Oreochromis niloticus: one gene and its partners. Each later gene encodes a partner of the first gene's protein in a complex. Links are inferred from orthologs where the notes say so. Each region holds a gene or a part of one and is shown in the gene's direction. Other genes may lie near its edges.

Region 1 (7,955 bases):
GTCGATCTTTGCTCTAAACAAAGTGAGAGCACACTTTCAACCTGAATGCAAAGCAGAAACAGACGTTTTCCTCACTCTCACAGCGTAAGTTACCGCGTTGCTAGCTTTGTTTTTACGACATTTCGTGTCGTGGATTTCCTGCCTTGCAGTGCTAGCTAACTGCTATATTTTGACAGAGCCTTGCTGGTGATCCTTCAGTCGTCGTGCCAGGTGTTTTGCCTTTGGGGAAATGTCGTGTGGTTGGGGAAGATCCTGGATGTTTGCTGCAGCCGCAGTGGTGACCGTGTTTCTGCTGGATGTTGTCGTTTTTGCTCGAGCTAAGGTAAAAGACCTGCTGGTACACAGAGGATCTGTGTTTGTGGATTAAATCTCATCAAGTATTGCTTTGTTTATGGGAAGATGTTCAGTAAACTGTGCTCAGTTTTATTCAGTGAAATATAAAGATTGTATAGTTAAATAACGAAATGTAAAATAATAGTTCAAGGGCGATATTGCCAGCACAATTATGCAATTACATCTACTTAAAGAATACCTGTTTATGTTAGTCTTACATTAGTTTATCTAAATAATGATTATGTAAATACCCCTGAACTACTGTCAGGACACTCGTGGATTTCTTAGCCAAATTGGGGATTGTAGTCTTAAAGAACTAGAAGTAGGAATACACTGCGAGGTTGCAGACTAAGACAAACTCCAGTTCTGCAGAAGAGACTCCTTCAAAGCAGACTGAAGTATGCCAAGGTCAACCTGGAGAATGAGTGTGCATAGAAAGTGAGTCCTTTAGTCAGATGAGACAAAAGGGAAAAGGTGTACAACTCACTGGGAATCTCATTAAGGTAGAAGGTATCATAAAAGATGGATATGTGAAGTGTTTGAAAGAAAACGTCAAGCAGTCAGCAGCAAAACTGGGTCTGGGTTTTGCTTTATTTTCCAACACGATAATGACCCAAAACATACATCACTCCTGTGAAGAACTGCCTCCAAAAGACCATCGAATTTGGAGGCGTTTGAGAAATTGTCGTGGGATCACTCAGGAGGTGTGAGTGAGACTGGTTGGAAATTGCAAATGTATAGTATCGTAGGCTAATAGTTTTGGCTCTGGTAGTTTTTGGCTAATGTGAAATAATTTTGTTTCTGTGCCCAAATTAAAATTATGTAAGCATCCAAAAAGAAAAGCTGTGTTTTAAAACTTCTTGCACTGTTAAATACTCCAAAAGATAAAACTTCCATAGAGGATCTCATAATTTAGTGCTCATCTGTGTGTTTGTGCCATTTGACTTAGAATAACTGGAGTATATGTCAGAGTGTTTGTTTGTTTAACTGCTTGTGTTAATAATAGAGAGACGTCTCAAGTAGTGCTGTAGGGGAAAGATGGGCTGAATTTGGGGCCACTTTCACAAAAGTTCCTTAATTCTTGCAGAGCTTTGAGGATGTCCGCTGCAAATGCATCTGCCCGCCCTACAGAAACATTACCGGTCACATCTATAACAGAAATTTCTCCCAGAAAGATTGGTAAGAAAAATATTTTATTTAGACTTTTATGGATTTTTAAAGAAAAGGCGTTACTCTTTCACTGCGCTGCTGTTTTTAGGGGTTTTCTTTCTCTTAGCTCAGTAGAAATGACAAACGTTTTAATGTTTTTCACAGCAACTGCCTGCATGTAGTGGAGCCCATGCCTGTTCCTGGCCATGATGTGGAAGCCTACTGTCTGCTTTGTGAGTGCAAGTATGAAGAACGAAGCAGCAACACAATTAAGGTACAACTGACTTTCCTTCGGATATGACGACATATCTTCCTCAGCTTTTATTCCCAAGCAAAGCGGGTCATTGTGATTGTTTGTCATATAAGATGAGTCGTTGAAAATATTGCAAAGCCTTTCTAGTTTATTGTTTTGTTTTGGGGTTTTTTAAAAGAAAAGAATTTATAGTTTGCAAAGGTTGTATGTTGGATTCAGTGAGTTACTCTTGCTAAATATGACAGGTGACCATCATCATTTACCTGTCGGTTGTGGGCGCCCTGCTGCTCTACATGCTCTTCCTGCTACTGGTTGATCCTCTTATCCGCAAGCATGACCCATACACCCAGCCGCTGCACAATGAGGAAGACTCTGAGGTAACCATTCAAAAAAACAGCATCCAAGCACACTCCAATGTATTTATTTGATTTCTGTGGAGTTTGAAGTTCTTGATTTCAAACCATCTCTGGTTTGTGTTCAGGAGATGCGTCCGCAGCCAGAGAGCAGCAGCCAGGCCAGAGGAAACACGGTGCTGGAGCGGGTTGAGGGAGCACAGCAGCGCTGGAAAAAGCAGGTCCAGGAGCAGCGCAAAACAGTCTTTGACCGCCACAAGTTGTTAAGTTAAACCTTAAGGCTGACCTCAACACCAAGTTTAGAGTACGTAACCTTCCTGGGCCGTCTGATATTACACCAGTGGCACTATCACAAAACCTCTTTGTCATTGCTGTGCACCGCATCTGCCGAATTAATATTTAAACATCACACATCTAACACGACAATGTTTAAACTTGGTTTATTTACTAGATGTAAAAACTTGAGATGGGCAAAGCTGCAGTTTAAAGAAAACTGATGCTTGAAGCACTCCTGATGACCTAATGTCAAATCTTTTCAGCAAATTGGACATCAGTGCAGCTTTGAATGTCTTAATAAAATAATAACTTTTCCCATTTTGCACTGGCTGTCAAAAGCATTTCAGCTTATTGTGTGTTAATATTTATAATTTTTTTCCTTCAAGCATAATTTATGATGTGATCTCAGATAGAATAAGCTAAGTTAATTAGGACTACTCTGTCTATACAGTCTCAATGCTGTTGCTATTGTTTTGGCACTAATTATTTATTGGTATTTAAATCTGGATGAATTTAATGTATGATTGTTGATTTTGGACTTTGTATATTCACATTTGAGCAGCGCCCCACTCTGTGCCTTTCCTGTCTCTCTCTTTGTGTGGGAGATCGTGTTTCTCCAAACTCTACAGCTTTCTAAAAATAACAGACGGGAAGGTCAACTAAGAAATTTCACCCATTGTTAACTAGTGCTTGCATTTGTACTCATTTTATTTTTAAATTTTCTGACTGAACCCAGCAGCACATCTGTGTGTTTTTGTTTTTTTCTGCAGCACAATGTGACGAAACACTCTTTTCATGCAAAGAGAGAAAAAGAAAAGGAGGCATTTAGCAGAGCTTTAAAAGGACTCTCAGAAAAATCACAGGAGAATGCCCTAAACCACTAAAGCTGATGATAATGTGGTTTAGTGTGGCAGAATCCAGATGCTTCGTGGCTTTGAAAGGGCCTTGTGTGCATCATTATCTGTCAGTGAATTCCTGCTCGCATCCTATTACTGAAGCTCCCAGTTGGGAAATTATTAGTACAGCAAAAACAGGCACACTGGCTTGCATTACTGTACCTCATACACCGTATGAACTACTGAAGTTTATTGGTTTCTAATTGATTTGTTTTTTTGTTTTGTTTTTTGATTAGTTGATTTGTAATTATAGTTTAATATCCCTGCTGTCAATGTTTTATATGCATCTCTGGCCTAAGTGTGCTATAGAACCATATGTTTAGCTTGACGTGAAATAATAAAAGGAAATTCCTCAAAAAAAAAGGTTTTGGAATTTTTTTTTCTCCTTCAATTACTTTTCTCCTTTCAGATTTGCTGTTCCTGTTAATGGCGCTAGAGGGCGACAAAGTACACAGTAAGTGCGCGTTCTTCTTGCACTGGTCTGTGGTGCTTGAAGATTGAAGTCTTACATGTTGAGTGGTGTTCAGCTGCTGGGAAAACAGTCACCTGTGGCATGTTTAAGATCATGTTGCCAGTTTGAGAAGGTGTTTTAAAATGTGTAACTACAAACGTCCTGGTTTGGGAATTACACGTTTTAAAACAGCGCCGCTTCTACCGACTGTTTTAAGGGCTGGTGATAGTCGGTTGGTTGACTTTCATTTAAATTGTTTGGTTATGAACAACATTAACACTAAATCATTTGGTCACAGTGAATGTTACAGAGTATTGAGTCCATCATTCAGTGTTGAATATTATTCTGATGAAGTTTTGCAGTTTTCTTTTTAGCTATATCACAAACAGCAAACCCTGATTTAGCATTTACACGCACCACACAATCAATGAACGGTCTGTAAGGCACCATAATGGGCTGTATGGAAACGTGAAGATTTTATTGTTTAATCTGAGGCGCTTACAGCGGTTAGGGTGTACTTACGGATACCTATTGTTCATTATTCCTTTAAATACCAGCCTTCAGTTATTATTTAGAAATGCATAGAGCTGCATTATAGTGTTTTTTTTTTTTTAATGATTACATGTCTCTGTACTTCTTATGAATCCTAAATAAGAGGTTGACAGTAAAGTAAACCACACATATACAGACACATACACAAACAAAATCACACAAAGAGACACAGTCCCCCCCCCTCACTCTACCCTTATAATCATCCCCAAGCATGGCCTGCTGGTGGTTCATAATCTAAATTTAAACTATACCAAGGCCAACTGCTCCTCCAGTCACTCTGGGCTCCTGCTATTTTTCCTGGACGTGGTGGGCTTATTTTGTCAGAGGCCCTCAGCCAGGCAGAGAGGCCTGTGGCTCTGCCCGGGTGAGACCGACAAAGGAGCGAGGAGGAGGAGAAGGAGAAGAAAGAGGGTGCCAGGGGAGCCTGAGGAGGATCTGCTTTCACAAAGGGGAGACACACTGGACCTGAGTTTGGGATTTTACAATAAACATTAACTTTCACAGGAATTTGGAGCTTGTCTAAGGTGAAGGCATCAAGATGGCGTCGAACACAGAAGCGGCCAAGCCGATCATCATGAATGAAGAGGAGCTGAAGAGGAAGCAGAGGGAGAAGCTTAAGAAACTACAGGCCACTGGAGGAAACCCTCGACCCGCGAGATCTCTCTTCCTGTTCAACCTCAAAAATCCCTTCCGCAAAGCCTGCATCAACATAGTGGAGTGGAAGTATCCTTTAGATCTTTCAGTCACACACACCTCAGACAACTGTGTGTATTTTAGAAGAAATTTCAGTTTAAATATTTCTTTGAAATTCAAGGATATCAAGGCATTATACATGGCATTATACAGTCAGCGCAGCATGGAGCCCCGGTTTAAAAATACTGACAGCAGGGCAGTGAATTAATAGCCTTGTTCACCTGTGGTCAGCATGCTCAAGCCAGGTCTCTTCCAAATGTGTGATGAGATGATCCCTGAAGTGTTAAGACTTTTGTAATGTTTCTGATCTGTATCAAAGTCAAGTTTGCAGCCTGTGGAGTTTCACCTGCTGTTAACCTGAGATCACCTGACAAAAGCATCAGGCAAAAAAACAATTAACAAGGTAGTCTTATTCAACTCGCTCCTTATTTTTTTTAAATGTCCAAATAGTGACTTCAGCGTCCAAGTAGGAGAAGATGAAAGAGCACAACGCGGGCTTTTGATAGCTCTTGTGGCCCCTGTAGGCAATTTTCTGCTTTTAGCCTCATGGTCATTCCTGGATCCAGACTGGAATGAGTTGATCATACCAATCCAGTGATAGGAACCTCTTGTTCACAGCGTTTAAATGCAGATACACAGACTTTGAGTTTAAGAGTGACCACATGTTAAAACGTGATGATGTGTAAAGATCTGTTCTATTTGACATTTCGTTCTGGTATGTTGGACCACGTCATAAGTCATTCCACCGCCACAGTTTAATCACATTGGTATGTGGTTTGGTAACACAGGGCTTAGGTGCTGTATAGAGAGCCAAATTATGGAAAATTACTAAAAAGTCTGAAGACCCAAAAAAAAAACTGTCCTCGTACACGGATCTCAAAATTTAAAGAGCCACTTTTTTCTTTATTTCTTTCCTGGTTAACAGTCTGTGTTCAAATGGTTTGGTCATATTCTTGGGCTCTGCAGCTGTCCCATGGCATCACACTGAGACATCATGCTGACCTGGCAGGGGAATTCTCACAGAGAGCCCCCTATGGGTGAGAATGAAGCAGCACAGCAGGCAAGATTACATTAAAGTGGAACACTTTGCTGGCTACCCAGGGGGGCTGCTTCAGGGATGATGTTTCAGGCAGCATTTAAAGGCACTAGTCAGTGCCTACAGAGCTGCTGCAGAGCTGGATTTGTTACACTGAAACACAAACGTAAAATAACTTAGTCAGATAAATAAACTGACCGTTTTATTCTTGTGAAAGATTAAGTCATCCTCCCACTCTCACCCATTAACATCGTAACATACTAAACATAAGACAATAGACCTTTGTGGATATTTTGGGGGGGCAAACTCTGATTTTTGTTGCTGTTTGTTGTTGTCGTTGTCACGATCCTGAGCATCCCCTTCCAGAACCTTTGAGATCATCATCTTATTGACCATTTTTGCAAACTGTGTAGCTTTGGCTGTGTTCCTGCCCATGCCTGAAGACGACACCAACAACACCAACTTAAATTTGGTAAATAAACATTGAGCCTTTTTTTTTTGTTGCATGTCACATGACTGTATGAGAGGCCACTGTGGTGAATGATGACTATATCGATATTTCATTTTCATAATATTCATGATACATAAAAGAATTGAAACACTAAATTAATCTCGTGTTTTGGGGCTCATGAAGGCTCAGTTTTACCATCACTAGTAGATGACTGTGCAGCTCTGATCAGCAAGTGAGTGTAGTAATATTAATTTACTACAGCTTTGAATCAGTGACAAGCTGTGGGATGCCAAACGCCATTTGAATGTGTCCAGAAACAACTCGGTTCTTTATTTGGAGCCCCATCTGTGTCTGCAGAGGAACGAGTCATCGAGTGTCTCGTTCTCAAGTAGTGTAAAAAAGCTGGTGGCAGGTGGACGATGCTGATGTATGTCCAGAAAGATATTATGTTTCAGCTTCATAGGTGTGTGTTTTAAAGCTGTGAAACTGTTGGTAGTGTATTACAGGTCACAGACTATAAAGATAAACAAGATGCACATGTGAGCAAAACATATATCTGATCATGCACCGTGCATATATTTGGCCAGTGCTTATTGGATGTGTCCTATTGACACCAATGTTATGATAAATAGATCACTTTCTCTTAGAGGTTTGGCATTTAGCACAAATGTCAGCCATCGGTTACTTTCCTACATTAAGTCAATAATACTCCACATATATCTTTGGGTTAAAGTTCATGTCAGTCTTTGTGATTTATAGCCATTTTACTTTTATTAGGAACCCAAATCTGAGCTGATCTCTTCATTGGCCCTCTTCCTAAATCCTCCTTAGTTCTCACGGTGCCATTCCTCAGGTGAAAATGCAAGAAGAGATGGACCAACCCCCTCTTTCACTGTTAGAAGTAGGTCAGCCTGAGTACCGTCACTCCACTGATGCAGGTGATACAGGAGAATCCGCCAATGTTGCCTCGTGTAACCACAGCCACGTATTCCAATAATATGATAGCTTGTAATGTTGATGCGCAGTAGCCTAGCAGGGCAGCTTTCCTTGGTGAATTCGTTTTACTCGGGGTAACACTGAGTAAAAGCCTATAAATGTGTGTACACGCGTTAATGGATGCAGGGTCAGTGATTAGGACCAGTGTTTGCTGGTTCAGCTAGAGATTATTGAGCTGATTTAGGGAAAGGGAAATAAACTGCATGTCAGTTACAGTACATACCTCAAATGAATTCTCTGTATATAGTAACCATTGTCCTTAATGTAAATATGTAAGAAAAATTGTGTATGTTTCTGTTCTGTGTCCTGTGTACTGTTTGTTTGTTTGTTTGTTTGTATATGTGTCTTTTTGGCTGCTGTTACAACCAAATTTCCCCTTGTGGGACAATTAAAGGATTATTCTATTCTATTCTATTCTATTCTATTCTATTTCTGATTGTTAGGACTGGAAGTAAGACTGGATTCCTACTGGATTCTTGAAGCTTTATCATACTGTTGTCATATTAACAGCCTTTT
Region 2 (7,742 bases), on another chromosome or scaffold:
CTTCTTCCTCCCATGCAAAACTGAGCTCAGCGGAAGTATGAGCTGCAGCCGCAGAGGATGATCTTGTGGGTGTTCAGTCCAATGGCATCAACTGGAATCAGGACGTCACACTGATTTCCCCCCAGAAGGGCTTTATCAAAGACTGCTGCAGGTGTGGGGTTCATTTTCCTTTGTGACTGGTTGATACGAGAGGAGGAGGTGGATGAATCATCCCTTTGTTTATTCAGATTTACACGGATATCATCAATGCTCTGTGAACTCAGTGTTTATTGCATTTCCGTGACTGTCGTCATCTAAAACTCATCAACACCCAAACCTAACGATAATTTTGGGAACCGGCTGCTCATTTCGATTTCAGCCATGCACTTGAGGTGGGAATAATTCGCTATAACAGTTAGCCGTATAAACATCTGAAAATGCCACACTGAATAATGTGCAGGAATCAAATACCAAATGGACCCTCAGAGACTTGCACTTGCACTTGAATTGAATTTTTACAACCTTTTAAGGTGTTTCAGCTCCTTTTTTAGGGGATACTCTTTGACTATACAATCTCCATGAAGTATCACAGAAATGTGGAAGTTTGCATCAATAGATGTGAGTTAAAACTGCATGATGAACTTCAGCAAACAGCTAAAAAGGAGAAAAACCAGAGCAGTAAGACTTTCTGGTGAGTTTTGACGTCAGTCAAAGGTTCAGCAGAAAACAAACACATGCACTCTCAGTGGGGATAGGTGAAAAAAAAGGTTCACAGTTCTTATCTTTTATTATTCTGAGCTGATTCACAAAAGCCACTAAAGAGTTTTAGAGTAGTAGCACAGGGTGAACAAATAGATTAAAAATAAAGGCATCTTTCAGGATTTCAGATATTTGATTTCCAGTTAACTTAGCATATCTTCATCGTGGCTCCATCAAAAAAGTATTGGCAGAAGAAGTGAACATTCTTATTGTAAGACTTCATGAAGATGTAAAAATTCTAAAGGAAGACCAGTAGCTAATTTTTTTTAAATGGTCCATTCAGGAACTATAAAATAAGCCATAGTGCCTTTATAGCCACACTAACTGTCCTCTTAAAATGATGTCCCCAACAATGCACTGCTTAAACAACAAGTCCTGAAAAACAGATGCTTTATTTCTTTAGATTTGGCACAGAGACTATCAGACAGCATGAAAAAAAAACATTTTGAGATTAAACTTTTCTAAAGATCTTGAATATTATGAATATATTTTTTGGTCAGATTCAGTATACGAGACCTTTATTGTCAGTGTGGAAGCAACGTCACATGATGTATAGGAACAGAAGTGTTGGACCACACCGCTTAATCTTTCAATTAGAGCAAAGCAAAGTGGATATTTTTAGGGACCACAGCAACTCAGACACAAAGTGGGAGATCAAATAAAGTTAGTGGCTCCCTAACCCCTCTGGTGCATAGTGTGCAAAAGTGGCCAACCATCTGCTGACAGAGTTCCAAATGTCCTCTGTCTTTAACATCAGCAGAAAAACTGTGCACCATGTGCTTCATGGCATGGGTGTCCATGGCTAAGTAGCTTCTGGTGCACAGTTTTTGTCATAAACCTGTAAAATTGAACATAAGAATATTGCACATCAGGACCGTACATGAAGTACAGTTTAGTGGTGTCGCAGCTGTTGTGAAGAATTTGAGTTTCAATCTGTTTGTGGATGCTTTTATAGCACTAAAGCACCTGCCTGCTGCAAGGAACTTGAACAAATGGTGTCCAGCATGTGTCGTGTCTTTGTGAAGTTGCTCGGCACTCTTCAAGCAGCGAGTGATGCAGAGATGTTCCAGAGATGGCTGGCAACAATGTTTTGTGCTGTTTTCAAAACACACTGGAGTGCCTTTTTGTCAGCTTTGGTGCTGCTACCCTACCAGGCTGTCATGCAGCTTGTGATCGCAGTCTGTAAAATTTGGCAAGCAATTATGGGGGAAAGTTGGCTCTCTTTGACTTTTTTAATAAATAAAGGTGTCGTCATCCCAGGAAAGGTGCTCAGTGATGTGAACCCCCCAGAAACCAGAAGTGGAGGGCTCTTTTCAGGTCTCTGTATTGATGTATAGAGGTGTCTGTGGTTTTCTTTGTAGTCTTTGTTTGGTGGCATAATTGGTGTGTTCGTGTCCATGATTTCCTCAGTAAATGCATGCTAATAATTCTTTATTACTGAGGTGGGAGTACTATATAATAACGTTTTTATTTTGAATATATCAAAATACTAGCTGACAAGAGAGTAGCAGAAGCGGAATATTCCAGCATCCAAAGCACACTGCCAAAAAAAGAATTTCTAAAAGAGAAGAAACTAAGAACTGTGACCTGCTGCCTGAGTCGAGGTCAGCAGAACACTTTTGCAGCATTTTAAAGAGAAAGACAAACCAGCAAAGAGGGTTTTAAAAAATGTTTGAACAGTGGAACAGCAACAGTTCTTCATAGATCTGCACTGTCCTGCATGTCAAAGACAATTTAATCTGTCATCAAAAGCAAAGGCAGAACAGGATGCAAATTAATGAAAAAAATAAAAGATTTAAGTAATTAAAGTTGTACTGTTACACTGAGTTCCTACTGTGGAGCCTGCACTTATTACAGTAAATCTAGTTAAATCAAATCAAATCAAATCATGAGACTGCAAAAGTTTCCCCTCAACTCATGTGTCATGCTTCTGTTACTGGCTTCCATCTAATGTCTGTCCAACAGATACATTTAATATCGGGGCCTTAGGCTAAATAACGCCATCAAAAAGTCAAATCTGAGCAATTGATAAGTGGCAAAAACTTTGCTTTCACTTTCGGTCTAAAACAATGTGCCTTAATAAACCAGGTGCAAGCTACCTGCTCAGCATCAAATGACAAGTCGGGAAATAGCTAGCTGAAGAGCTGGTTAAGGCATGGATGTTTTTAAGTTAGAGGACAGCAAAGATAAAAGGTATTGTTTACTGGATGTGTACTCATGGGATGGTTTGCCTATGCATCTGCCCACAAGTGATGATTTGCATTTAGCTGTCCACTCATTTATGTCTTTTCTGTTGGTGTTACAACTCCAAGGGACAAAAAAATGATGTTTAGTTTGATGATCTTGAAAGCTTTAAGTTAATTATTTATAACTTTTTTTACTAGATACATTAAAACTGTGAGATGATAGTGATTCATTTTTTAAAATATGTCTGTCTTTATTTAGCTAGGTAATGCAAAATTTGGGCACATCAGACAGTCTTACCTGCTCCTGGATCAGCATTATATCCCAAAGTTTATTTACTTATTTATTTTTACCCAAGGCCACATCAACATCATTCTCCTCTTCTTCAAATCATAGAGACGTCAGGCATTGAGCCTCCCTGCTGCTACAACAAACTAGCTGTCAAATTGAACTATTCTCACCCCCCATTATAGCCCCGCGGGACCTTTGATTCCTGGATCCCGGTGCGGGGACCAGTGGCTCAGCTTGACAGCCTATCCACACCCACAGCATCCATCGCTGCGGCTCGCTTCTCTCCATCAATCCATAAATGAGGGTGGGGTCTGTTCAGTGGGGCGTGGATCTCGGCTTCCAGCTGGAGTCTGTTGAGTTGAGCGCACACAAGGAAAAGAATCGACGTCAAGACAGAAAGAGAAACACATAAAACCCGAGAGTAGTTAGAAGACGCTGCTTTCAAAATAAAAGCCTGCCTGCGCTAGGTCGACTGATTTTATAGCCATTAGTTTCTACTGTCTTTCACAAATATAAATTTAACAAAACTGCTACCATCTATTAGTTTTAGCCTAACACTCAACTAGTGAAACCCAGTGTTTTGCATTGTTTACACAGTGCAAACAATGAAAAACAATATTGTATATATAACTTGATGTTGATAGGTAAGTTGTTTTAAGTCTCGGGGAACAGTTCTTCATCTGTTTCAGGACTCATTGTTCTTTTTTCAGCTGAGTGTAATTCCTTATGGCCAGTGTTGGGGTTATTGCTCCAAAAATGTGACATATTACATGTTAATTACATACTCTAAAAAAAAAAAAGCCCAAGTAACACACTACACCGAACATGGCTTATGACTGGTTGTATGTTTGGGCCTATTGTCCTACTGCAGAGTAAACCCAGGACCAATCAGGTGCCTGGAGTCAAAAGTCCAGCAACACTTTGCATTACTGATGCCTTTTAGCATTTTGCTAACCCTGAAGGAACACAGGGGTCAAAGTTCAAAGGATCAGATGTCCCTGAAGAAACCCTTAGGTACCCTGCTGTATGTTCAGGCTGTTGGTGGGCTGTTTGCAAAAGTTGGTTCTGCCAGAGGTCTCTTACTGTGAAAAGGGAGTTCTGTCTCCCCACCACTGCCAAATGTATTTCTCTCTAATATTCTAGAATCTTTACCTTATTATACATAACAAACGCAGTTTTGAACATGTGCTATACGGAATAAACATCTAAAACTTTCAAACAGGTAAACATAATAATACTTGTAGTGATGCTTCTTACCTATTCAAAGAATTTTGTTTTGAAAGCAGGATAACCGGATGTATCTGTACGTCACACCCATAACTTGACTCTTGTGTAAAAGCCTGGTGCGACAGTGTGTAACGCTATAGGCTGGAAGGAGGCAGCTGTTGCCATTATATTATCAACCAGCTTAGACGCATCAGCGGCTTCATTCTCTCCGAAGGAAAAAAAAATAAAAGATGAGTCGATCGACACCATCGTAAACACACTAAACTAGAAACTGAAAATAGATTTTTAAAAAGTTGAATCAAATGGTACAGAAAAGTAGTATGTCCAGGACGCCTTCGACCTCAACCCAGGAGATCCAAATGGACATGTTCGACCATCACCCACACACACAGGTAAGACCAAGAAACGGGAAGAGGGTAAAGCGTAAATATTATGGAAGTATTATGTTAAAAATCCCATGTTGACTATTTTGAATTGATGCTCTATATGGTGCTGGTGAACATTAAAGCTGCTGCACTTCTGAAGATTAACAGGTTGTTTCCAATTAAGTCGCTTAATTTGCCTTCGGGGTGCCGAGATGCTCGTGTACGCTGCACTGATGAATTTAGTCAAATTAATGATTTTAAGAAGAAGTGAAATGGATGAAATATACTAGTTTTTCTTCACTACGGATTTTGATTTATAGCTACATCCTTGTTCTGTGTTTAATTTTTGCTGGCGTTAATAAGTCTGTGCTATGTAACCGTGATGTGACGCTTGTTTATATGCCGTCTGACCAGCGGGTTCCCAGGAAAACCACGCCTTTGTTTAATTGATGTCTAATTATCGAGTAACATGTTGAATTGACCAGCTTCCTTGGGGGGGGGGGATTTAATAATTTCCATAAATGAAAGAGCGACTTGAGTTTTTCATAGGTGGAGTTGGTTTATGTTGTTGACATTTTTTCCCATTTTGTAACCCCCCCCCCCCCCCCACACACACACACACACCCCACAAACAAATAAACAAACAAACAAACAAAAAACATCAAATAAAATAATAATAATAACTCATTTATAGCCTTTATCTCCCCATGGTGTCACCTGTTTTACAGCCACAAATACACAGTGGCTCTTAGGAAGTGACATGACGTTGTGGGCATGTTTAGACATAAATGGATGACCAAAAAAAGATGAGAATATCTAGAACAAACACACCCACGCTGGGCTCAGTCATTATCTCTCTGGAGAAGGGGAAAAAAACAGAACACCTCACCATCACAGACAACCAGCGCTTCAAACCCTGCCAAGTCCCGCTCTCTCCTCTTTACTCCCACTTCTCCCCCTCAGCTCTCCATCCACTTTGAATGTGCCACTATGCCCATCCTGCTCTCGCCTTCTCACCTCATGTGAGATGTCTGTTTTTAGAAATCAGATCTTTATCTGCTGAGAGGCTGTGGTGAGAAGCAGATGGGCACGGTGCTTGTGCCAGGCAGATTAGATGTAAAGTTCATGTTGACCTGCAGCGGGATATGCTGTTATATGCACTTGTGTTTCTGCTGTAGAGAGAGAAGAAGAAAAAAAAACACATTTCTAATATCCTGCAGGAAATGGCCAGAGTTCTCTCACCAGCCACTTCTTTAACACAGAAGAAGAAATGAACTGTGTGCCAAGAAATTATCCAGTTTCTGAACCTGAGGGCAGCTTAGATTAAAGATTGTGTGTGCTGACCGCTGTCACATTGCAGATCAGTTGGGCTCTCTGAGCACAATATTGTATAGAGGGTTCTGGTTAAAAGAATGAAATATGTTTATGATACCTTTCAGTGTGCCACCCTCCACCCTTTATACTCCCTGCCTTCCTGCTTTCACAAACAGCACCCTCCTTAATTATACACTTAATCTGGGAGGATGTTTACCAGCAGGAAGCTTCCCATCCCACTTCCTCTGGCATTTCTCTGCTCTTTAGTGACAGGAATCAGGTCCATCATGGCTCCAATCATAGAGATCCCTCTAAAAACATGCATGCTAATGCATGTATGCACCTGATATCACACATGCTGTGAGATGTGATCAAATTTACCAGCTTAATTGCTGACATATTTGGTGGCACAGGAGCTTCTCCAGCATAACAAACAATGGGATCGGGCTGTGAGGCTACTTTTGGGTTCAATATTAACTTTATTGTCCCCAATGAGAAATTGATTTGTGGCATGTCCACTCATCAAACAATGCATACATTGTATTATTAGAAAAAAAAGAAGCTGGACCGGTAAAATCTTACCGGTCTGGTCCTATTGAAAGACAGATTACCGTACCAAGGAATGATACAAAACATTAGAACGGATTCTATAAAACTTTATTTAAAAAAGGGGTCAACAACATTAAAAACATTAAAAACTCTGAATTTCCTTAAAAAGTACAGCTGTTTTTGTTGTAGCAGCAAAATGTGACTCAAAGGACAGAACATTACCAATAAAAACACATAACCATGACAGTATATTTGCACACAGGTCAAGAACCATGGATTTTGTCTTCCATCACTAGGAAAAGGAAGAGTGTTTAGCTCGTTTCAGTGGATATGCGGCTGCTGTTATAAGACAGATGTGAAACTGAGACTGTCCAACCAAAATATACATCTTACTACTGCCTGGATATCAAAGCACAGTCACCTCTTAATGTTAGATGATAACTCACACAAAATCAAGAGGATTTATTAAACTACCCATTATACATTTGAGTGGATTGGCGGTTAGGTATACTGGATGCATATGCTATTTGAAATGCTGTCTGCAATATAGTTCTTCATGACCCCGATTAAGGCCACAAGCTGACATGCTAAGGTATTAAAGTTGTTCCTCATCACACAATTATTTCTGCCGCTTCAGCCTCTTTAGGCGATGAGCCTTCTCCATGCACCTTGGAAGTAGATGAAGTTGTGCCAGAAATTTCCTTTGTGTTTTCACTATGTGGGATTTGCCAGTTGGACGCTCTAAGACTAACAGCCAAGCAAACGGTTGATGTGAGCAGCACCGAGATTAAATGTTATCAGCTGATGCACAGAGACTGCGGGCTGCAGAGATGTGGCAGAGCAGGAGCAAGACCCATGCATGGAACAGAGGGGGCATTAATGGAAATACCGATAAAGTCAGATAAACTGTGAAAGGGATGAGCTGATGTGAACGTGGGTTGCAAAGCGGCTTACAGAAGAACAGCAACTGTAAGCAGAGTAAAGCACCCTGAATAGCACATCCTATATGCCTTTTACTGATGTTAAGTTAAATATCCGAATACAAACCAACATCTGTTTGATATTTTTGCGTGA
Region 3 (8,494 bases), about 7.3 Mb from region 1:
TATTTTAATACTCTCTTAGTTAAAATATTTTGTTCTTGTAACATATATTTCTTCTTCTCAATTTCTTGTTTTTAGAAATTAAACAGACTAGTAAAAAAAAAGGTAGTAGTAAAGTAAATAGTTCTTGATGTGGAGCATATTGATTATTTTCTTTTTTTCCCCCCAATTGTACTTCAATGAATAATTTATACAAAATTGAAAAAAAGTTATATAAAAAGTTATATATTTGGATTAGGTTTAGAGTTAAAGTTAAGGTTAGGATTGTCACCTATTCCGACTTACATGTGGACCTCAGAGGATTGATGCCTTCTTTGGAAGAATACAACCTGCTAAATGCAGTACATAGATACATTCAAAACAATAGTAATAGTTAGTACTCTCACAGCTTTCTCTGTAAAAATCAAATGGAATCAGTTTTTAAACAATGTTTGTTCTGTATATAGTTTCCACTTGCTTCTGATTTAATTAAAAACAACCGAAATAATATAAGTTTACAGTAAAATCCAACAGCTCCTGTAAACTCTGTAATCACAGTCATTTCTTGGAGATGAACAGGGTTTGGTTTCTAAGCAGTGCCTCCTGATTTATCGTCAGTGCCTAAACTAAATCAGACAGGACACTACAGTGATGTTTACAAAGGCTGACAACTCATAAAACTGAGCGTTAAACAAACAGAAATTAGCAGGTTACAGTGGACAAGCTTAAATTAACACTGGTATTTAAGCTGTAAACTTGAACTTGAGTGTCCAGAACACAGATGCACTTTACGCCACGTCCCACAACCATCTTTTAAAGTTATGCCAGTAACTGCGATATAATAGACATAATCTAATACGTTACTGTCCTAAAGAGACAACACGTGAAATGAATTATGCTAAATAACAAAAAGAAATGAAGTCCAAATTTTTAAAAGACCACTACATGTTAGTTGGGTTTTTTGTGGTAAAACTGATTAGTTATAAAATCATCAGAGACTTTGTGGTACAACTTGAGTCCATGTCAGAATTTATTATGTTTAATATTGCACTTTAAATTTTTATCGCATGGAACATATTTCTGTCATTTTAACCAAATTAACACAAGCATATTGACACACTGAGTTGTTATGTCAGCATAACGAAAGCCGTAATCATCCTGGCCTCTTATAGCTCAATCTGGTCAATAAAAGCCATTCAAAGTTAGCCTGTAGTTTTTAAAGCGTTTAAATAATTCAAGTCAAAGCTTGGTGTTGTTACCACTATGTTATTGTTTAGATTTAGCTTTAGGATCTTTGGTTTTCTGAGTTTGAACAGCAAACTGCCAGCTGTCCGAGTTAAAAAGGACTGCTGTTCGGGAAAACTAAGATAAATATAATAAATAATTAATGAAATTATCTTGAATGTGGAATCTGGAATTACTAATGGAGCCCTGTTTCAATTCTTCAAACCTGGCCAACAAACCAGTAGTTTATTCCTAGTGTGATAAAATAGACAGCATATTGGTCAAACTGCCTGCTATTTATAATGTTAAGAGATAAACATCCACAGTTGTTAAGGAGGTAGCAACAGTGGAGGAGAAATCACAGGAGAGGCTCATGTGAACAAATAAAAAATCAAATCAAATAAAAGTAAAGAAAATAATCAGTCATTGATGATTTGACTATTTATTTAGTTTGCTGTAGCACATCTCATGGCAAGCTTTTGGTGCTTTTACCATGGGCACCATCACTGCACCAGAGCCATATTGATGGGAAAGGGGCAACTGGAGTCTTTGTAGGACAGGCTTTGGGTGAAAACTGAAGCAAATAGTGGGGGTGGGGGTGTGTGGTGATGTGATGTGATGATCTCTGTAGGTTTTGCTAAATGGATCACCTCTATTACTTTTACTGGGTAATTTTTGGAATAAGAAAAGTCTTATTCATATTTAGGTCCACATTTAACAACAGGAAGAGAAACTGGATCCAGCATGCAGCTAAAAAAAGCCATCAGGCAGACAAAACAGCTACAGGATGGTAACTAATTTGAATAAAATCTGACTATATCACAAATGAAAACACCACGGATGTGTCACTGTTTGGGTGTTTCTGACTTTACTGAATTTACAAAAAGGTTAAAAATGGCCTGTAACTCAACTAGCTATAGAGCTGTAATGGGCTGTAAAAAAAGAAAAGAAAAAAAAAGGCCAGTGCAGCCAAACAGGATGACTTTGTAATGCAGACAAGGCGAGTGTGCATGGTTTCTGTAGTTTTCACTGTATTTACTCTAGGGAGCGTGGTGGAGAATGAAAAGGAAGTCATCAAGAATGGTGTCGTGTTATGAAAGTGGTTGTTTATCCAAGCCGGAGGTTTGAATCACGATCACTTACAACACTTTCTTACTGACAAATTCATTTCCCATTTCCTGTTATACCACACCAAAGTAAGGTGGTTAAAGTAAGGAGTGTCTTGTAGTTACTGTAGAGACGTTTGTTTTGTTTTTGTTAAAACAGCAGACTGACCAAATGTGGAAAAACTGACAGATTTTGCTAAAACTAAACTTTTTTTTTTCTTAAGACAGGTCAGGCTATTCATCATCTACTGTGGTTCAGTTTTCAGAATGTACATGCCCTTGTAAGGGTAAAATTTCAGTTTGTTTTCGTTGGTTATTATGAAATTGTTTCACTGTAAGTTGCTGCCGCAGTTTGCTGTTGAGAGGTCTCACTGCTCCAGTTTCTTTTTACACTTTATCTATGAATGCATCGGGAGTAATTTTAGACTAAAGATTTAAAGGTGTAATGGCAAAAATCATACTTTGACACTCAGTCCAATGGAAATCAATTTGTTATTTCAACCTTCAATTTTATGTTCCACCCTTTCCCTTCTAAGATACCATAAAATATTGATTATCCTGGGATATCATAGCACTTAATTTCTCACTTACCCTTTCAACTGTATATTTTCACTTTTATTTCTAATTATGGTTGATAGGAAATGTGTAGTTTATGTGTAGCATTAGCTTTAGGCAGAGTGTTTTCTCCCCAGAGGGGAAACTCTGGAGGTGTCTTGTTCATGGCCTGTACATGTCAAAAGCGTAAAACTGTAAATCACTACCAAAGAACAAGTTGTGCAGATTTTTGTAGAATATGAAAATGGTGGAAAGTGATTCTCAAAATACTAAATTTTCTTATATACATGTTTCTCAATTATTTGAGTTGAACAAGAAATGTGCAGCTCAAAAAGCACTTCTGCATGGAAACCCTAAAGACTGCTCGACAAAACAGCAACATTAATAACAAATAACAATAAATAAGAGTTTTAATTGTTTTGGGGACAAAAGGGAGTGATGAGAGTGCTTGTTTTAACACACAACCCACAGTGCAACCAAACCCAGTGTCATCAGGTATTTCAGGTCTTTCAACATCAGACACCAGTACCCAGGCAACCTAGCCATGGGTGATCAGTCTCCAGCTTGTGTCTGGGTGGCTTAAGTCATCTGCAGGTCTCCCCTTTTGGTCCACTGCCATCTTGATGTCTTCTCAGGAGCACTAACCCTTTATTGACCGGCCCTTCAAATTTACCTGTAAAATGGGCCCGCCGGTGGGCCCATGGTCAATAAATTAATGATGTTCAGTCCCTTGATCCTGAGCAACTTCATGGGCTAGTTACTAGTACATTGAGGTACAATGGGTCTTCCATGCCTTGCTTCACCTGTAAGCTACTTGGCAAGGAGCCTCTTCCATCTGGTCTTCTCAGGGAATGGTCAACTCTAGCAGGACCACCAACTGCCTCAGTGAGTCTGATATTAGCACCATATCAGGCCTGAGGTTGGTCAGGGCTATGGTGTCTCCCCAGGTCAACTTTCTGCCAGTCCCAGGTTGCTGCAAGAAGACCCACTGCTGGGTCCATGTGCTGTCGTGACTTCTCTCTAGCACTGACAAAAGCAATAGAGCACTTTTGATTTGCATCGTGTACACAGACCTTGCCGTTGCACACCAACCATACTGCTGGAGCAAGTTTTTCCACCACCCCTGCTCTGATCTCTTACTTGCCCAACTGGCTGCTTCCCTTCCCCTTTTTCATATTGAGGTCTTGAGGTACTGCCAAGACCTGCCTGACCTACTGAAACTACAGCCCAGGTCTTTTGTCTGATCAGCAGAATACTATCCTATGACAAAAGTAACCCTCAGGTTTTGGGGGGTGGGGGGGTTGGCAGTTAGAAACCTCACACTGAACACATCTCAGCATTTGTAATGTGCACTGCATTGTTGCACACAGACAGGCCTACTCTTTGTACTACAGATAGATTGCCAGGATTTGTAACCTTATTAAATCAATCGAATAATGTGCAATTTCACCAATATGTCTTTTACTGTCATAACAAAGAGATATTATTATCTTAACTATCTAACCTAAAGTCACGCAGCCTCACTCTTGAGTGTGGTATAGAAGGGTTTAAAAGAAGAAAGCTGTAAAAGTGACCTTTATTAAAAAATTCTTCCTCAGATTAAATTTATGACAAAACTCTCATTACTAGACATTACTTGCACCACAGTGCTTCCTGGTGCAAATTGCAATGCAAAGTCTAGCCTCAGTTTTTACACTTTGCAAAGGTGTGTTGTGTTGTGTTTTGTTGTGTTTAGTTGTGCCTAGTGCCGACGTGGGACAGTTTCCAATTTCGTTGTACTATTGTACTAGATATGACTGTGCAATGACAATAAAGGGTTATCTTATCTTATCTAATCTTAGTCGATCATAGTGGAACATTTAGCAGGCCAGTCCTGGCTTGCACCCCTGCACTAATCTAAAGCTAGTGATTTCAGATGGATTAATTTTGAAACGAGCTTAACTAGGTTTCATATAATCTAAGTTCACACTACGTAATCTATTAGACTGCTGAGTATCAGTGATTAATAGCTCCTAAATGACCTATAATGTATTTATAAATTATTATCAGTCACATAAAGCACTATAAATGATGCCTCGTGAGGAAGTACCACTTTTACTGAGGCAAAGGTGATCAAAGAAAAACAAACCCGTTCAACTAAAATCCACCTCTCCTCTAAAATATGACTTCAAAGCTGCCCTCTTTGAAGGTTCCACATTTATTTGACTGCGGTTTCAACTATTTGAATCCTTCTTTGACAAGCAAATATTATGCACAGACGAGAAGGAACACGGCGTTTGTTTGAAGCCAGGCACTTCTAAAAAAAAAAGAAAGAAGCCAAATGTTGACTGTAAGCAGGTCTGAATTGATTTTTGTGTCATTTTAATCAACGCCGACACCCCCGGCAGAGTCGCACACTTAGTACGGACCTGTACGGTTCGCTCGTGCGCTGATGCTTCAGCGTTATCGGTTTATTTTAGCTTCAGTATTTTCCCCCACTCCCTTTACGTTTCTCCGTCACAGACTTTTTTGTTTTTATTCGGGAGTATGAGCTAGCCTTCCCGTCAGCTGAGTTTGGATATTAGTGTCCGTTTTCCCCCCTCCCGCTTGCCGCTTCTTCGCTCTCTTCACTGTATCTGATGCCTCTTGTTTCCTCCAGTAACCCATGTCTATGTGCATCCCGCCTCCCTGCGCTCTCAATATATGGTGCAAGTCAAAATGTCCAAATCGCCCGTAGACCCTCTGTCTGCCGTGGAAACCGGCTCCCAGTCGCACTATTTCCAGGTAAATCCGCTCACTTTACTCCCATTTCTCTCGCTTCTAACTCCATCTTCACCGACAAAAGAGGAAAATGGTTAATTAGTGTGTCAGATGCTACTTGTTGTTCAATCTGAGGCGTCGCGTTTTGGCAGCGAGCTACTTTTTTCCGTTTTCCCTTTTTTTCACCTCCGCCTTTTCTGAAACTGCAGATTGATGCTTGAGCCGGTGAACGGTCATGTATCCTTATATTATGGCTTTTAAACACAGATACACAGTTTAACACCTCCTTGGGTGTCGATGCATTTGCTGTTTTGATCTCAACTCGCAGATCAGGCCTTTGCATTGATGCTTTATTTATTTCAGTGCATTTTCCCCCTCCGTGCTACGCTTCATCCACTCCAGTGCAGGGAAACCAGCACACACCAGTAGCATTATGGGATTTTCGTGCAGGATTTTATTGGTGCAAATGTGCAGGCCGTGACTCTGGACTCACCTGTAGCCTGAATCTGAAAGGCTTTCTCCTCAGTTTGAGGGAGCTCTCTGCATTAATCAAACCACCATGTGAAGCTGTGAAAGGCAGCCCTGAAATATGTGTGATTCTGGCAGTTACAGCTTGCTTTGGTGCAAAGCAGCTATTTTGCACTTAATCACCATACATTTTGGCTTTTGCAGTCCTTAAAAGCCAGCAGTAGATTTATTTTTTGTATGAATAATCTAAATCTGCAAAATAATTAGCAACTAAAGCACTGAAATAAATATAGTCAGCCTTGCTGCCAGTATTACTGCTAGAGAGTTGTTGCATCCCGTTATCTATCGCCATCCATCTACCCATTCCCCTTTTTATCTCTTCACCTGTGTGCATCTCTTTCCTCCTCACAGCTGCCCAGGAAGTTGCCTAAGCGCAAGAGCCGCTTCAAACGCTCAGATGGCAGCACATCCTCCGACACTACGTCTAGCTTCATCAAACGACAGGTAAAAGCTCCTTTTGTGCCTGGATTGTCTCACTGCAGGCCCATTATTGCACACTGATTGTTAGTGGATGGAAAAAGCTGTAGGTTCTGTGGAAAATGTAGGTCATGGTGTGCTCTAAATGTTGGAATAAAGCTATAAGGTGCTTGAAGTTTGTCATCAGAGCCAATGTCTCCGCAGTGTCTGGTTGGCAGTAATGCAACTCTTGCATATTTCTTTTTTTAGGGTATAGGCTGTTGTTGCCGTTGGTGGAGGTGGGGATGGGGTTGTTAAAATACCTGCATGATTCTCTACTTATTTTGTTCATATCAGTGTGACAGTTTCTGCTCTGCATCTTCATCCACAGCGCTTTTTCCTCAGTTGCAGAGGTTGCTTTGCCCAGTAGAGGGTAGCAAAATGCTTGACAGAAAAAATAAGTTCAACCAAAATCCCAACACAGCTCAGTATTTTTTTTAATTAATGTTTTCAGGTCAGACATGTGTGGAAGACTCAGATGGAGATTTAGTGTTATTTAAGAAAGAAGGTATCTGTAATTGGAAACAAAAGGATTCTCCTTGTGATGTTGCTGCATAGCTATTTTGAATGGATTGTAGATATGGGCAAGGGGTGGGAAAAATATTTTCTCAGATGATTATATTGACTTTAAGTGAAAGGCCAAATATTGAACAGCTGAACTGTAACATGAATTATTTTAAACTGTTAATCTGGTAAATGGTGTTTCAGAAACCGAGAAATTTGTTCAAAAAAAAAAGAAAAAATGTACAAATCGTCTTAAATATGAAGTCATTGTAATGTATTGGGTTATTTAGCGTAACAGATCGTCGCCACTCAGCAAAACTATCAAATTTGGCAGATATGAGAAAACCAGATGTTTAGCTTGTATCTGCGATGTGCTGGAGTTAATCATAGAAAAGTGTTTTTGCAAAAAAAATGGTGAGCACCCTCTTTTGAAATCAAATTAAAAAGCTTCTTACAGTAAAGTTGAATATCGTTAAGGTGCTCTGTTGTTCGGTTTTGTGGAACGTCGAGGGTTGTAATCACATGGACCATGTGTTGGCTCTTCCCATGTATTTTCAAGTCAGTTGTGATGTGCAATTTTGGAATTTGGATTTAAGCTGCATTAACAGAAACAAAAAACCCAATTCCAAAAATGTTGGGATGCTTTCTAAAATGTAAATGAAACAGAATGCAATGATTTGCAAAACTCATAAAACCCACATTTATTTGCAATAAACGAAGTGTAACGAAACAATCAAATCAAATGTGTAAAACTGAGAAAATGTAGCATTTTGAGAAAAATACTAGCTTGAAATTGACGACAGCAAGACCTGTCAAAGTTGGGACAGGGCCATGTTTACCACTCAGTAGCATCCCCTCTTCTTTTAACAGTCCGTAAACATCTTGGAACGGAGAAGTCCAGTTGCTGGACCTTTGGGAGGGGAGTGTTGACCCATTTTTGTCTGATAGAGGATCCTAGCTGCTCAACCATCCTGGTTTATCTTTATTGTATTCTTTGGTTCATAATGTGCTAAATGCTTTAAGTTGGTGAAAGGTCTGGACTGCAGCTCAGCACCTGGATTCTTTTACTCGAAGCAATGCTGTTGTAAATCCATGTAGTATGTGGTGTAGCATTGTCTTGCTGAGAGTCTTAAAAATAAATAAATAAATAAATTCAAATTTTGATTTATTACAGCCAAACAGTTTTCCACTTTGTTTCAGTCCTTTTTAAGCTTTTTAAGCCATTTTTAGCTTTGAGAGAAGATGGTAGGGTTTCTGGATGGTGTTCATATATGGCTGCATCTCTGTATGATCACACTTTAACCTGTATTTGGGGATAGTATAGAGAACTGCGTTCAAACAGCGATTTCTGGAAGTGTTCAGGCCTGAATATCACAGGGTCTCAGTATTGATTTTCAGCGATGTCC
Region 4 (8,078 bases), on another chromosome or scaffold:
AAAATGAACCTTTACCTCAAAAATAAGATACTAATGAACTGATAATTGGTCCAAATACTGTTGAACATCACCTCCTGTGGACCTCATTGTGTCCTGATATAACAGTATACATAACTGGTCTAAAATATGAATCTGTAGTTTTCAGCAAGATAATTTTTTTGTTTCAGAAAGTCTTGGTACACGTGAGACACTCAGAGTGCATCCACCACCATGGCCATCTCCTTTTTTTGCATCAGTGTTTATAGAAATTGCTCCCACATAACTTCCCCTTTAAAATGCAAATGCACATGACACCACTAGAGGGCAATAATGAATAACAACTTCAGAGCTCTCTAAAGTCTTTTGAGAATAGCATTCTTCAGCAGCAGCATGGTTTTACTGGAGACACTATACCATGAGTGCGAGATTGCAAAGTTCATACCGAAGGATATTATGTAGATGCAGTTCCTTTCTTTCAGTTTACCTGGTACAAACTACCTTGTTTTACTAAATGACTCATTTATACAGGTGAAATGATAAGAAAAGTTAGCTTTCTACAATTCAACAAACAATAAAAAGTAGAAATTATGAATTAATCTTTACATCTGTCACTAAAAATATCCTGACGTTGCATCTGTTATAATGCAAGGTTTTTTTGGGTTGGATTTATCGGCTACACATCCATGATGCAAATCTCCCCTTTCACTGCATCTTAAAAGTGTTCCACTGAACTGAGATTTGGTGACCATGCAGGACAATAGAGTGCAGAGAACTAATAATCAAGTTCAATAAACCAGTTTTAGATGATCTGAGATTTGTGACATGGCACATCATTTTGACTCATCAGTAAGGCAATTATTTCTATTCTTCTGTTGTCCAGTTTTGCTGAGGCCATGTGAATTGTGGCATGTTCTTAGCCGGTGTGTTCTTTTGTTGCTTCACCCCATTTCCTTCAAGGTTCTTCAGAGATGTCATTCAGAGATCCTCCTCTGCATACCTTGCTTGATTGATTTAATGTCGCCTTACTATCAGCACACAGCAGTCTGGCCATTCTCCTGTGACCTCTGACATCAACAAGGCCTTTTCACCCAGAGAACTCCAGCTCACTGGATATTTTCACTTTGTTAGATCACTATTTGTAATCCCTAGAGGTGGTTGTGTGGGAATATCCCAGTAAATCAGCATTTCTGAAATACTCAGACCAGCCTGTCTAGCACCAACAACCATACCACATTCAAAGTAACGTAAGTCTGAAAGGTGTACCTTTCAAAGTGTCCAGTGTGTGTTGTTAGTGTAAGTCAGTATTACCTTACTTACTAGGATTCTATTATTTTTCCTCGTTTTTGTGGTCATTTGATAAATAAAAGTTCATTTCAAGCCTGAAAACAGACGAAAGATACATTTAATACAAACCTGGTGATTTTCCTTTGGTATGCATGAAATTTTGTAATCTGAAAGTTTGTTGCTTTCTTTTCTCAAAATAAACTTAGCCCAAAAAGTATGGAATTCTTTGTTTGGTCAGTTATTTCCTTATTGTAACAATGCTTCTTGGTAATAAATCTCATAGTGTTTGAAAGCCTGTTTATTTCCCCTTAAATGATGCCGCATTTGTAAGGAGACAAAGGAGTTTGCAAAGAAAAGCGTCTGGACTTCTTTGAGTTGCTTTCAACTCAAAGAAGTCCAGACGCTTTTCTTTGCAAACTCCTTTGACTACGATGACCTGGATGACTGAGAACCTTCACAGACATTTGTAAGGAGAATTCATTTGTGGGTTGCGCCCATGAGAAACTTGCCAAATCTTCTCTACAAATGCCAAAAACCTTCTTGTGTGATTGCTATCTGCTATATCTTATTCTGAGCTTCTTGTACCCCATGTGCTGCCAATCATGACTGACTGGTGTCTGATTAGCAGCACCTTTGAGGATGGACCCTGCTACAGTGGTCGATTGGTGTCTGCTCCAAGCATGCCACGGTTGACTAATGTGGATAGGGCCTGTGCCACAGGGCAACTTCAAGCTGGTGTTCTGCAAAACCAAGTTGCAGCATTTTTTTTGAATGCGCTCAGTACCATCTCCAAATAGAAGAGCATATTCCACATAAGAGGGGATTTGTGAGACAGGCCACTACATGGGTGTCCCAAGAAGACAACACCACCCTGTCAGGATTTAGGAACTGTAAATAGTCTTCTACAGCTTTGAAATCAAAGTTTCCAGTACAATATGGCTGACGGCTCTCTACCCAGAAAATCTGGAACATACCATAAAATGGAATCCCATATCTCCACAGTCTGGGACTGAACTCTATCCTCCAAGATGACACTCACCCCCACAGAGCAGGATTTATCAGAGACTATCACCAAAATTTGGGAATGGAGAGGAAGGAATGGCCTGCCTGCAGTCCTGACCTCAACCCCACTGAAGAATCAGACGCCATCCCATACCGGTGTGCGACCAAGCCGATGACCAGCATGAGGAGGAGGTGCCAAGCTGTTGTGGCTGTGTATGGTTCTTTCACATTGCACTGTCCCTGTTTGTTAACTGGATGAACTGTTAAATGGCCAATATGTCTCGTTCCTTCAGACTTTAATCATCCAATCCAATAAACAACACCAAACAAGACTCAATATTAGAATAAGCTTTTTTTTTTCATGGTGCAACCTCCATACTCAACCCAGCTGCTCAACCCACAAATGCATTTTTCTTACAAATGTGGCATCGTGGAAGGGGAAATAAACAGGCTTTCCAACAGTATAAGATTTATTGCCAGGAAGCATTGTTACAACAAAGAAATAATCGACCAAACAAAGATTTTCTTACTGCCAAGTGCCAAGTTTATTTTAGAAACAATATATTCGCATTTTAGACTACTGGCTGAACAAGTATGTCATCAAATATGAAACTGAGAGGTATTTTTTAATTTAATTAATTAATTTATTGTATTTACAATGACATATTTATAAAAAAGAGCTCATTCAATAATGAAATAGTCAACAGGTGCAGCACCTTTTTTTTTTTTTTCATCCGCCAGCTATGCTGCCTGTACTTAACTGCCAATACGAATTATTCAGCTGTCAGCTTTTGGCTCACTGCTCCAATTTTCAGGTTTCCTGCACCAAATGATAACATGATGATATATATATGTTTTTAGGATATCCCAGTTTAACTGGATAACTCCATTTCTTTATTACATGAGAAGCAAATATGGAAAAAAAAAATTTCAGAGAAGTATATTTAACATTTTCTTGGTGCAGGGGTATGTCCAGTATCCATCTGGATACTGAGTTAAGCATGTGGCAGCTTTGACTGCCTCCTATAAATGAGAGTCAGCTGGACTATGCTGTGTTGTTGGAGCCTCTTAATGTAATTATTTGACAAACAGGCCTGTTGTAGCAACAATTGTCCAACTAGTTTATTATTAGCATTAATTAGCATGTGTGTGCATTTAAACCAAACCAGTCAGTCTATGAACTGCTAATCAAGATTCTAAGTAACTAGTACTCCACCCTCTTGTCCACATATGACATGATTTTTGCTGCATCCATTTTTTTATATACAGCCTATGTGGTGGCACCATACTCCTTTCACCCAGTGCTATTAGCATAGAAAGAAAAAATGAATACAGCTTTTTGGTCAGAAAAAATGAAGCCAACGCAAAGTGCCTTAAACCTGCATTCTATGTGAAGGCCACCAGATGGCGATAGTTGTGGTTGCAAAAAGACATTCAGTCCTTTAGTATAAGTCTGTGGGAAAACGGCTCTTGACCTGTGAAACACTTTCCTCATGAGTTTATGGTCTCAGTCACTCATTTTGGATCATATTGAATTGAAAAAAAAAAAAGTAAAATCTTGGTTGTACTTCAAAATGGAAGACTGTGGTATGAAGCCACAGGCTCACTGGCTAACGACTACTTAATCTCAGCTTGGTAGCCCATGAGCCCTCTGTTTCAGTCACATTTGCCTCTCCTCATTACATCTGGTGCTATGCTTATTATTTAGATAAAGGGAACTAGCTCTAAAAAAGTAATTTAATCTAACTACAGCTGCAACAATCAAGTAATGCACATAATAACGAATCAGTCTTTGTGATCCAATTTTTTTACTCTTCTTTGTATTAACCTCATTTTTATTTTCTTTGTTTTGTTTTTTATCACTGTTAAAATTTCTGTTAAAACTTCGCACTCTCACAGTATTAGACCCTCACTATGCACCTGTGGCACTTTTACTTTAACAATGTGGTTTATTTCTTTTAGACTGTACTATTTTTACTCTTTATCGTGCTGCTGCAATACAATAATTTAAATTGAATAAATTAATATCTTTAATAATCATAATCTTTAATAAATTAAGGATGATTGAAGTATCTATCATGTATATGATTCTGAAGTGAGCCATTAGAAATGAATAATTTTTACTTTAAATACTTGTACTGAGACATTAATCATATTTTACTATATGTATTTGGGCTGCATGTATGGGTTTTTTTGTTTGTTTGTTTGTTTTTGTATTCATTTCTGATAAAATAGTCTTATTTCCTCTGTTTTCCCTCTCTTTGTCCTCCCCACCACCACCACCACCTCCACCACCCTGTGGCACCTCTACTTTGGTGCCAATACCTGTGAGCGGCCACATCAGGTTTATATTACAATAAAAACATCATTTTGTTGATTTAAACACCTCCCAGTAGCTATGACCTGATTTCTCTCACTTGTTCAGTTCTGATCATCAAAGTTACTCTGAATTGACGCTTTTCAGTCGTGTTCATGCCGACTTTGTGTTTGGATGCTGCTATTCATTTCCATCCCTTTGCGCTGTGAGGAGGCAGAGAGGTGTTGGCGTTGGTTGAGGGCTCACGGAGCAGGAGAGCTCTCTCAGCTAGTGTAGGAAGGAGCGAACTGATGAGGGGGCTTTGTGATGCTGAAGGCTATAATATCCGACGACTCACATCATCACTATCATCTTGAACTCGCGAAAAACTACAGCCATTTTTCGCACAAGCTCCTCCTTTAACTCGACTCAAACTTGAAGAGCAGCATTAAACTCTTCAACACTACTGTGTAAAAATGCGCTTTTGTCTCGGGCAGAGTTGGAGCATCTGTACAACCCGAGAGGTTTTACCGACTATCCGCGTTTCTCAAATGGTGTGATGGTCGTCAACATTAGCCCAACCAACAGAGCAGGAACACCTCCGGACAAACACATGGACGCTCTGGAACATCCCATGTTACAAGTGAGTTAATTCATTTTAATTAAAGCTGACAGTTCCTGTTAAACTGCCACTTTAAACCTTGGCACTGCACGCTGAGAGACGTCAAACAGCTCACCTGCTCTCAACCTGTCCGCTTCCTTTGCGCGTGCTGGTGAGCGCAGGTGGCCTCATTAAAGTTTTGATTGAGGTTCGTAAGTCGCGAGGGCGAATCTTTATTTTTTATTAACTTGTTTTTTGTTTGTTTTGTTTAGGTTTTTTTTTTTTAACTTATTTGTGGGTCAGGTTTGATATTTGGATATTCACTTTCAAGGACTGAAAATAGTTTGACATGTCTTATTAGTTTAATATCACGACGTTTTGAAGTAAGCTAGCCTGGATGCTCGTCAAATTAACTCGTACTTCCGGAAGTATTTCAATTGTAAAGCCAGTGGTAGTAATTACATATTTACGAGTGTAATGCAAAAAGTACTCTGTTCGAAGTACTGCTGTAAAAACGAAAGTAACTAAGTACTAGGTGCTTAGCATGTATGGGTGTTTTGGCTGTTTTAGTGGCAGGTAAGCGGCATTTAAGTTTAAAGCTAGTGTAAAGTCTCAAAGAAAAACATAGTAATTTCAGTATCAACAACATTGTAATGTCTAAAACATCTTATAAAGGCTTTTGTCTATTCCTGCAGGTAAAATAATGAAAACTGGATAATGTATTGTATTGCTCTGTGGAGTACAGTGCATTTATTCAACACCTATAGTGATATTTCTGTTTGGTCCTAGGGTATTTGTATGAGGGTATGGACTGAGGGGGACAAAAAAAGGCAGATTTGAAATTATTTTCTTGCATTTCGTGCATTACTTTTCCAGGATGTCACTTTTGAAAAATAAGCCGTCTACCTCTGTGATTACCTTCATCTCCTGAAACACGTCATAACATTACACCTTAAGTGAAAACACTCAATCTGTAATAAGTAAGAAACAGTGGAAATCAGTGCTTGGCTGATACTGGCTATAATACTGGCTAAATGCCATTGGTTTGAAGTCTTATTGCAGAATATTAGGACCTTATATTTGAGTTAGTCTTTTTGGTATAAAAAATTATTTTATGTTGGAAATGACTCACCAACTCCACTCAACTAGGCAGTGAAATTCATCAGTGAAGACGGAGGCTGTAATGTTGGAAGCAGAACTGGTCACTCAGATAACTTTAAATTGCTCTATTTGCTTTCATAATCACTGATAATCTTTGTCAGACACAACCTTCTTGAGATACCACCCTGTACTTGGAGAGGCAAATGCTTTATCTGACATTTCATAGAGAAAACATATTGATAATGAAATTGATCTAACCACAGTTGTTGCATTTGTTGGTAAACATTAATGACTTATTATGAGTCTCATATTATTTTCTGCTGAATGCATTTTTGCACATGAACTTAAATCTGTTACAGGGAAAATGTATTAGTTTGCATGCTCTTGTGTATATTGTTTTAAGATTTAAGATTTTAAGATTCCTCATAAACAGTTTTATCCTGTCTTTTTTTGGGGGGGCTCTGAAGTCTCAAAGCAAAGGAGCTCGGAGAAAAGGTCGTTTTAAAGGCTCAGATGGAAGCACCTCGTCCGACACCACAACCAACAGCCTTGTTCGCCAGGTAAGGGTGGTGATTTGAATTTTTGTTGATCTCGCCTATCGGTGTCTTATTTTTGTCATCTCTAAACTATCTGTTGGTGCCTAAAGCCCTAGACCAAAATAGGTACAACAAAGATGTATCTGACCACGATAAAAGAGTACCATGAAGTATAATTCAAGTTTCTGGCTGCAGTTACTTCCCGTTGGAATCTAACACTTGTGTGTTTGTATAAATGCCTGACAGTAAATGCAAACTGGTGTAAGGGCTCAGGCTCAGTCATCATCATCCATCAGCAGTAAGATGTGCATTGCGATGAAAGCCCTCTGTAAACACTGCTGGGTACAGTATGTTAAATGGAAGCCTCTCATCTGACATGCATCTTCTGTGCACAGAGTGCAGAGCGACACTGTGGCCTGTTATAAAGCAGACCCTGTGAGGTACACACTCAGCGAGTCTGGTCTTTGTTGAGCAGACCTGCAAAGGGACAGAATGGGCTGAGTTAAGGATGAACACTCCTGCTTAAATGTTTCTGCCTTTTTTGGAGGAGGCACAGATCGCCTCGTCTTTGGCACGGCAGCAGCAGAGCGACGGGAAGCTGGAGGAGGTCAGATCAAAATTGCACCTCCTAGGCTGCTGTCTACTTCATCTCACAGCCACAGAGAAGTTCTCAATGAGGCGCTGCAGCTCAACTGAAGCTGCTCAGGGAGAAATTCCCTGATTTTTTATTTTCCCACCACCCTTGGGAGCTAATGTCCATTCCCACAGTCTTCTCCCCAAATGAGGAGTTCCCCTTCAGTCAGAGTCATCAGTTGGCTGTGCTGCGAATGACTGTCAGTCTGCATCATCATGTTAGGGAAATGAGAGGGTATTTGAGTGAGAGACAGAAAAGAGATGGTGCGGAGCAAAGGAATGATGTTTTTTGGGAGTCAGAGAGTCTCTTTCATGCAGAGCAAAAATATCTTCTTTGAGATATTTGCTGCAAGAGGCCCCCAGAAATAGCAGACCTTCCAGTAACTTCACCTCTGTTTAGATAACAGTGTAAATACTGTTATTCAGTTATGTTTTCATGACAGCATTTTGTTCTGACCTTATTTCTCTTTGCCTCATGCTCAGTCATACTTACAGATATATGAGAGTGTACTCTCTAAGTAGCTAAACTCACACCACCACTCACACTCATGATCTCAGTGCCTTTTAATCAGCCTGTCATTTGATGTTGTCTTCACTGTTATTATTTAAGCATACACAACTGGATTTAGGATTTGGAAACCATCTC

The links.
Region 2: cacna1sb (region 1) and cacnb1 share a complex: the UniProt entries of both Homo sapiens proteins name them as parts of the calcium channel complex. The link is inferred for Oreochromis niloticus from reciprocal best matches to the Homo sapiens genes CACNA1S and CACNB1.
Region 3: cacna1sb (region 1) and voltage-dependent L-type calcium channel subunit beta-3 share a complex: the UniProt entries of both Homo sapiens proteins name them as parts of the calcium channel complex. The link is inferred for Oreochromis niloticus from reciprocal best matches to the Homo sapiens genes CACNA1S and CACNB3.
Region 4: cacna1sb (region 1) and cacnb2a share a complex: the UniProt entries of both Homo sapiens proteins name them as parts of the calcium channel complex. The link is inferred for Oreochromis niloticus from reciprocal best matches to the Homo sapiens genes CACNA1S and CACNB2.

The regions. Positions count from the first base shown.
Region 1 is NC_031984.2:20,027,868-20,035,822, forward strand, and holds the start of cacna1sb (calcium channel, voltage-dependent, L type, alpha 1S subunit, b), read left to right. Parts: upstream 1-4,530; 5' UTR 4,531-4,801; coding exon 4,802-4,986; intron 4,987-6,358; coding exon 6,359-6,464; intron 6,465-7,955. Other genes in the region: proton-transporting V-type ATPase complex assembly regulator TMEM9, read left to right, coding at 230-322, 1,421-1,512, 1,648-1,756, 1,981-2,112, 2,217-2,360. UniProt on the Homo sapiens protein: Pore-forming, alpha-1S subunit of the voltage-gated calcium channel that gives rise to L-type calcium currents in skeletal muscle.
Region 2 is NC_031969.2:27,484,432-27,492,173, forward strand, and holds the start of cacnb1 (voltage-dependent L-type calcium channel subunit beta-1), read left to right. Parts: upstream 1-4,556; 5' UTR 4,557-4,742; coding exon 4,743-4,832; intron 4,833-7,742. UniProt on the Homo sapiens protein: Regulatory subunit of L-type calcium channels. Regulates the activity of L-type calcium channels that contain CACNA1A as pore-forming subunit.
Region 3 is NC_031984.2:12,750,043-12,758,536, forward strand, and holds the start of voltage-dependent L-type calcium channel subunit beta-3, read left to right. Parts: upstream 1-5,256; 5' UTR 5,257-5,543; coding exon 5,544-5,624; intron 5,625-6,479; coding exon 6,480-6,572; intron 6,573-8,494. UniProt on the Homo sapiens protein: Regulatory subunit of the voltage-gated calcium channel that gives rise to L-type calcium currents. Increases CACNA1B peak calcium current and shifts the voltage dependencies of channel activation and inactivation.
Region 4 is NC_031974.2:16,013,222-16,021,299, forward strand, and holds the start of cacnb2a (voltage-dependent L-type calcium channel subunit beta-2a), read left to right. Parts: upstream 1-4,744; 5' UTR 4,745-5,120; coding exon 5,121-5,204; intron 5,205-6,730; coding exon 6,731-6,823; intron 6,824-8,078. UniProt on the Homo sapiens protein: Beta subunit of voltage-dependent calcium channels which contributes to the function of the calcium channel by increasing peak calcium current. Plays a role in shifting voltage dependencies of activation and inactivation of the channel.